Oryzias latipes: one gene and its partner. The protein of the gene in region 1 binds, or shares a complex with, the protein of each later gene. Links are inferred from orthologs where the notes say so. Each region holds a gene or a part of one and is shown in the gene's direction. Other genes may lie near its edges.

Evidence for each region. The genes of interacting proteins can lie anywhere in the genome.
Region 2: rrs1 (region 1) and rpf2 share a complex: the UniProt entries of both Homo sapiens proteins name them as parts of the hexameric 5S RNP precursor complex. The link is inferred for Oryzias latipes from reciprocal best matches to the Homo sapiens genes RRS1 and RPF2.

What each region holds. Positions count from the first base shown.
Region 1 is NC_019878.2:17,066,249-17,069,507, reverse strand, and holds rrs1 (ribosome biogenesis regulatory protein homolog), read left to right. Parts: upstream 1-1,472; 5' UTR 1,473-1,542; coding exon 1,543-2,559; 3' UTR 2,560-2,680; downstream 2,681-3,259. UniProt on the Homo sapiens protein: Involved in ribosomal large subunit assembly. May regulate the localization of the 5S RNP/5S ribonucleoprotein particle to the nucleolus.
Region 2 is NC_019882.2:10,338,871-10,343,060, reverse strand, and holds the start of rpf2 (ribosome production factor 2 homolog), read left to right. Parts: upstream 1-1,285; 5' UTR 1,286-1,406; coding exon 1,407-1,429; intron 1,430-2,173; coding exon 2,174-2,306; intron 2,307-2,700; coding exon 2,701-2,738; intron 2,739-3,340; coding exon 3,341-3,380; intron 3,381-3,466; coding exon 3,467-3,548; intron 3,549-4,190. UniProt on the Homo sapiens protein: Involved in ribosomal large subunit assembly. May regulate the localization of the 5S RNP/5S ribonucleoprotein particle to the nucleolus.

The sequences.
Region 1 (3,259 bases):
GAGGCAGCACCAGTGTGGGAATGTGAGTGTGTATGCGACTATAAAGCGCTTTACACTTCAATTAAGGTAGTGAAGCATCATATGATGAGCACCATTTATCATGACAGTTATTGTAAGAAGGTGTTTGCAAAAGTGTCCTGCGACAGACTGGCGACCTGTCCTGGGTGTGTCCCACCTTCGTTCAACAGTGGCAGGGTTAGGCTACGGCATCCCCATGACCCAGAAAGGGTTAAAGCAAGAAAAAGAATGGATGGCTAGATGTGTAAAATTATTTTTTGATATTAATATTGGCAAGAAAAGTCATAGAAGTTTTACCTTTTTTCTGAGAACAAGTATTCCCTTAGTCAGGTGTGTATTGTAGCCATTTGGCTAACATTATATATTGTATTTATATTCCATGCATGGATGCTCCTGTCCTGCCTTGGTCATTTAGCCATTTGAGTTCCCTGTTGATGGGTGCATTTTGGAGATTGCCATGTCTTTATTAACATGCGTTTGGATTTTAGAACTTTGGAAGCATGACATTATATTATTCTTAGGCCATGTTCAGACTTTTGAATGCTATTTTGGGGGGTTTTATTGTAATTTTTCACTGTTTGAGTTCACAAAATATTTGACAAAAAAGGAAGAACATTGACCGTTTCTTATGAAGCAAGCATCAGATACGAGGCAGTTCCTGTTCCCCAAAACACCTGAATGACAGCAGTTATAGTGTTTTGTAACCTACAAAAAATATTGAGGGATAAATTAGGCTTATATTTTTTAAAAGATTAATATTTTAAGCTCTGCCAGGTGACACAACTGAAGGAAACCAAAATTATCGATGCCAACTCACTTTAAATGTGTATTTAAATAAATATCACAACTGAATGTCCATAAAATTCAAAAACAAGTATTGCAAACATGGTTTTATTTTGAAAAATTTTGCATATTTCTTAGCTTGACTGTATTTTGACACATAGAGTTGAAATTTTGTTGAACTGTCACCGATGAACTGTAACTGACTTTTTACCCCAAAAAAAATGCGTTTACATGTTTTTTTCTGTCTAGTTTAGCTAAATATATATCTTTTTAAATAATGTATATACACCCATCTGGAGCTTCTGTGACTGTCATCATCTGTGGTTTGATGTCTGTAGTCCACCTGTTGAAGCGCCCTAAGGCTACAGACTGAACTTAAACTTGACCCTAGTGTTCATTGGTGTGAAAAAGAGAAAAGAGCTTAAAAATGTTGCATGAATGTGGCATGAATTTAGATTTTTTTTATTAATATAGTGTATTTTATGTGTGTGTTATTATAACAAGTTGTATACATTGCATTAATTTGTTTGTTTTTTATTCAAATTTAAATGTCAAATTAGTGGAACAACATTGCCCTCTGGCAGCCAAATTCTGTATTATACAAGAAAATAAAACAACACTTCCCCCTGATGGTTACCGGTGGGAATTAGGCAACACTGCCTCGTGCGGTGAGACAATGAACTACACCGTGACCCGGAAGAAGACTCCTGTTGTTGCCCCACGTGTGTAGTGGTCGAAATCATGGCTGCGTGCAGCGTGGAGGAGCTGTTAGCGAAAGCCGAACAGGAGGAGGCTGAAAAACTGAAGACCATCTCCGTCCAGAAGGAGCTGGATTTGGACTTTGACGTGGGAAACCTGCTAGCTTGTGACAAAAACCGCATCGAGTCCAGGGACTTCAAAGAGCAGAATAAGGAAGACTTTCTCCGGTCGCTGGCCCGCGACAACACGCAGCTTCTTATCAACGAAATCTGGAAGGTGCCGACCGAGAGGGTCGAGGAGGCGATCGTAGCCAAACTACCGGAGCCGACGACCCGGTTGCCCAGAGAGAAACCTCCTCCGAAGCCCAAACCCCCGACGAAATGGGAGCAGTTCGCCAAACTGAAAGGCATCCAGAAGAAGAAGAAGACGAACCTGGTGTGGGATGAAACGGCCAAGGAGTGGAGGAGGCGCTGGGGCTACAAGAGGGCCAACGACGACACCAAAGACTGGCTGATCGAGGTTCCGCAGACCTCCGACCCGAACGAGGACCAGTTCGCCAAACGCGCCCATGCCAAGAAGGAGAGGGTGGCAAAGAACGAGTTCAACAGACTGAAGAACGTCGCCAGATCTCAGAAAATAAAAAACCCCGGTGTGGGGCTGCTACCCCGAGCCAAGCAATCCAAAGACGAGCTGAGCAAAGCTGTGAGCGTGGCCAAAACCTCCACGGCATCCGTGGGCAGGTTCCAGGATCGCCTCCCAAAGGAGAAGCCCCCCAAGAACGCAGGCAAGAGGAGGAAGTTTGAGCCCCTCATCGGGGACTTCTCCAGCGAGAAGCACAAGCAGCTGGAGCTCCTGAAGGTCATGGACAGCAAGAGGCCCAAGCTGGACATCACCAAAGCCGTCAACAAACAGATGAGAGAGGAGGACAGGGAGGAGGCTGCGTCCAGGAAGAAGGGAGGCAAAGGGGGAGCCACCCGGAGGCCCAAGGGGAAGGGGGGCAAAGGAAAAGGAGGCAAAGCTGGAGGAGGGAAGAGGAGAGGGAAACCTGGGAAGCGCTGAAGAAATTCTCTACATCCTGCTGCTGCAGAGCTGAACTCTGAGGACCGATTCCTGCTCCCCATAGCTTTTTGACTGTACTGTTGACAGAAAAGCAAATATATTCTACAATTTAAATACAAAAGTCTGCCGTTTCAGTTTTTTTTTACCTCCAATAAATGTCATATGGTTTTCAAAAAAAACTTATTTCCAATGAAAAGCTAATTTTAAGATTAAAAGAAATTCTGTTGCATTTTTCTCATGATGGAGGACATAAATAAAGAAATTTTAGATTAAAACTGCATTATTGAGTATTTCTTTATTCAGATCCTTGTGAATCAGGAGCAGACAGAAAATGCTGTTTGATAAATCCCTCAGTTGTAACGTAGAAACTGAACTGGGCAGACCAAAGTCTCCCTGCTCCGCCTCCACTTGCACACAAAGATGTAGAGAAATGTGAGGCGCTGTAATCTAGTGGGAGAGCGTGTAAACATGGATGACGGAAAGTGGGGGTGGACATACTCTGCAGCAATAGTTCCACCTACTGATGAACTGCTGCTCTGCACAAATTCTTCTCTAGAAAACAGCATTTGATTTTTCTATTTAGCCTAAAAACGGCATAGTCATAGTTGAAAAGACCGCTAGGAACACCCTGACAAAAGCGGATTGGAGTGGGAATTTAAAATCAAACTGGAATAGAATTGCTTTCTTTTTTTATCGTAAA
Region 2 (4,190 bases), on another chromosome or scaffold:
TTTAAACTGTTCCTGCAGTAAAACATTACTATGTGAACACTTATGGTATCTCCTGCACACGCACTACTATTCTAATTCTTTTTTTTTAAATTTTTTATAAATACAAATGTGACAGAATATTTTTTCTGCAGACTCCTGGGTGGTTTTAAAAGAAAAAAAAAGACCAGGCTTTGTAGCAAATTAAACTCACATGAATCTGTCCCCCATAGTAGTGGGAGCAAAAAATGTCCGTCTGGGACAAAATAAACTGCATCCACTGCTGCCGTGTACAAATATCTCTCAATAACAAGGATTGACTGATGTCCTTCACAAAAAAACAATTTCATAATCTTGACAAATTTGAAACATTGTAGTATTCCTCTTAAGCAGAATATTAGACAAACATAGATGTTTAACTAACTGAATGCTGAGACAACCAACCCTGCTTTTGGTGTGGAGCCCCTTTTAGCTTGTTTGACTGATCACACTGCAAGATTTTATTGACATCAAGGGATCAGAAAGTCTTCCAGGAGGAAAGAATTTCACGAAGTAGAACAATTGTAAAGACAAAAGAAAAACGGATGTAACCATGATACTGGGTTTCTTTGGAAAATACATTAGGGGGAGGAATCTGACATCTATGTCATGAACATGAAATGTTTTTTATTCTCTTGTATGGAAGAACATCTTTCTTTTTTTCATGGCATCTCCAGGATTTTTTCTCTTTAATCTGATTGTTTTGTTCTTTTGAGCATCCCAACAGAGTTTAATGACTAAAAGCATAAATTGTTCTTTGCTTGCCTCTTGTCTCAAATCTTATTCAAACTGATCTCCATAAACATGAAACAGCAGTTGGTTTGGTTTAAGGCTGCATGGCCACATCAAGCCAATTTACATTTCCCATGATGCTGCAGGTGTGCTGCAGTTGTGTTTATTGCTTAAACTAATTGTTGATGGATCGGCATAGCTTTGGCTCAGAAGATTTTTTGGGAATTTTCAGGTTTTGCTAGATTTTCCACACGTTTGGTCAGAGTTGAACATCAATCAGTTCCCGTGCTTCAATGTTTGCATGTATTCAAAAGAAATATTATTTTGGGATTATTTTATGTACCATCGTGATAAAAATTTCCCGTTTAGAGAGTATAAACACTTAAATATTTTTTTTAAATGTAAAAAGTTTTTTTTTACCTTTTCGGCGTTTCTTTATATTTGGTGGTAAATGTCGCCCCCTGCCGGACAAATAGTATAATTTTCAGCGACTCCAAGCATTCTTGCACTGAGACAAAAGGTGGCGGCAACGAGCAAACTCCACTAAAAACGAAGAAGAGAGCCTCGTGTGTTTTTCTACCGGACAGAACCTCACGTGGAGGTTCCGGTTGCTGGCGCCACAGACTTAGAACAGGACCGAACCGAACCGCGACACGGACATGGCGCACTCAGACGGCATCACGTGAGTACCGCTCGCGCGCTAAGGTTTGGACCGTTTGAGCTTTCCCACATTCCTTGAGCTCACCAGGAGGACGCCAGAACTTGTCTGTAGGGATTTCCTGGAGGTTGGAGACCTCCATGAACCTCCACATTAATTTGAAGCCCCCAGCTCCACTGAAAGGTTCTGACTGTGCAGGTTCTGTGTTCCTCCTGAGATCAGAGCGCTCCTTCACAGATGTTTGAGGCGGTCTCAGGTGACTGGATCACCTGAATTCTGATTGGTTCCCTATTAAGGGCGCTTGCCATTTATACATCTTCAACTCCAAAACCCAATGGCCTGGAAATTTCCTAGGAGTCTTTGCAAAAAAAAACAGTGTGAATCCATGTTCACTAGATTAGAGAGTATAATTATGTTTGAATGATGTATTCATTCTAAATTATTTAAGTTGCATCATCTGATTACATAAATGGTCTCTGAAAAATGTTTGTTTTTATTATGCTTTTACATCATAGCAAATGAGTGATGTCATATTCAGTGTTTTAATGAATAAATGTTTTAATTGTCCAAATGTCTGGGGCAAATTCCAGATTTAAGTTTAGTTGGAAAACTTAGCTAAAATTTAAAGTTTTATATCTGAGTAACATTTTATTTAATATTATAATTGCATTCATGTTATGATTTTAATGTCATTAGTTTGCCTGATTTCTATCAATCTGGTGCTGAAACTGATGTTCAGACTCTTCGGGGGTTTTGCTGTGTTTTCAGAAAACCGAAGACGAGGCGTTCCAAGCGCTTCCTGGAGACCCGAGAACCCAAACTGTTGGAGAACGTGAAGAGCGTCATGATCATGAAGGGGGGCAACACAAACCAGACGGTCACTGAGGCCCTCAAAGACATCGTGAGTGACTTCGAACATCCCTAAAGTCTCCCTCTGATCATGAACCCGTGTCCTTTTTTAGGACCTAGTTTCTGCAGAGCAGCAGGAGTCCATTCGAAATTTGCCTCTGAGTTGTGGCTGTTAACATGATGCATCCTCAGCCCTCCACTCCTCCCTGTTACTGAGAGCTCTCTGTTTACCCTCTCGCTTTAACTTACAGCCACTTATACTCCCAAGCTAACATTATATTAGCAATATTGGAGCAGTTTAGAGCCAGATTGCAGCTCAGACGAGGAAATCCGCACACCGATCTAATGGTCTGCATGTTGAGCAGGGAGCAAGAAGATGTTAAAAACAGGATTTTGAAGAAAGTAATGATGAAGAAGTAAACATGGCCCTGTCCTCCTCCCTGCAGTACTCCCTGAAGAAGCCCAACGCCGTGCTCTACAAGAAGTAAGTTCCAATCCGAGCTGCTCTATGATCCACTTTCACCACAAGCCGAACGTTTTAGGCCTTTTTAGATCAGGTTATGGCCAACTTACAAAAATAATCATAAAGCCTGTCAAAGAACAGCAACACAGCTAAAATAATTCAATCCAAATCCTAAACTTTATGGCCAAATTGTCTAAATATTTTCCTGATGCTGCTAACATCACTTTTTTGAAATCTGAAAAACATCAGATCATTTTCTGATGTTATTTATGGTTTAAAGCTGCTGGAAAACTCAAATATTGACTTTAGAGGAGCTTTTGAATGGCTGTAATTTATGGAAGAAGTTTTTTTCTAAATATTTTATTTATGTTGATTAAAAAAATAAAAAACCTCCACTCTCTTTTAAGCAAAACAACAGTTTACTGTTGTTGTTTTCTTTCTTTTCTGGATTTTTTTGTCTGATCTGCAACAACAGTTTAGACAATAAAAGCCTCTTTTAGTCACGTCAGGGCTCTTAATTTGAAAGTTTTAGCCCTAGAGTGTAAAAACAGAAGTGTAACATTTAGAAGCAGAACAGCGCGTCGGGTCAGAACTTCTGTGAAGAAACGGTGTCTGTGTTTCAGGAAGAACATCACCCGACCTTTTGAAGACTCCACGTCTCTGGTGAGATTTCTGACCCTCTCTTACCGCTCGAGTGTCCCAGGAGATTTTGTCTTAAATTTGAACTATTACTTTTTTTTTTTTTTTAGGAGTTTTTCTCCAAGAAGAGCGACTGCTCTCTGTTCCTGTTCGGCTCCCACAACAAGAAACGACCCAACAACTTAATTTTTGGTAAATCCTGCTGCTTTAACCTGTTCGGAGGAGGACCGCTGGGCCTTTTGACACAATTATACGACATGAGAAGCTTATTAAAATATACAAACATGTTTTGATTGGTGACTTTTAGGTCAGTTTCAGGAGAAAATTGTTCAATCTTTCAAAAATCCCATAATTATATCATCTATTTAGCAGAAAATGCTTTAAAAAATAATAATTATTAGAAAAATGATAATATATACACAGTAAATCTAAATGTATACAAATTATGGTTTGAAATAAATTAATAAGTGCTAATTTATATTATTAACCTTTTCATGCTTCCCTTTATTTCAGATTATATGAAATGTTTTTGCCATTCTAGCTAATGCAAATTTAAATGCAGTCCAGGATTTAATGGGACGTTGCACATCAGCAACATGAAGGGGTTAAAAAGTCCAACCTTTGAACGGCAAACAGTATTTTTCTGTTTGAAAATACTTTTTTTTTCTTCAGTCTTCAATAATATTTGTTGGTAGGGCTGCCTGATTTGAGGAAAACTCACGAAATTAGTGGTCCATATATGTTGCAGGTTGATAGCAAATCAACCATCTGATTGGTCAACAACGTGAAGGAGTCCATCTGATTGGTCAAATGCATGAATGGATTTGATTTGTG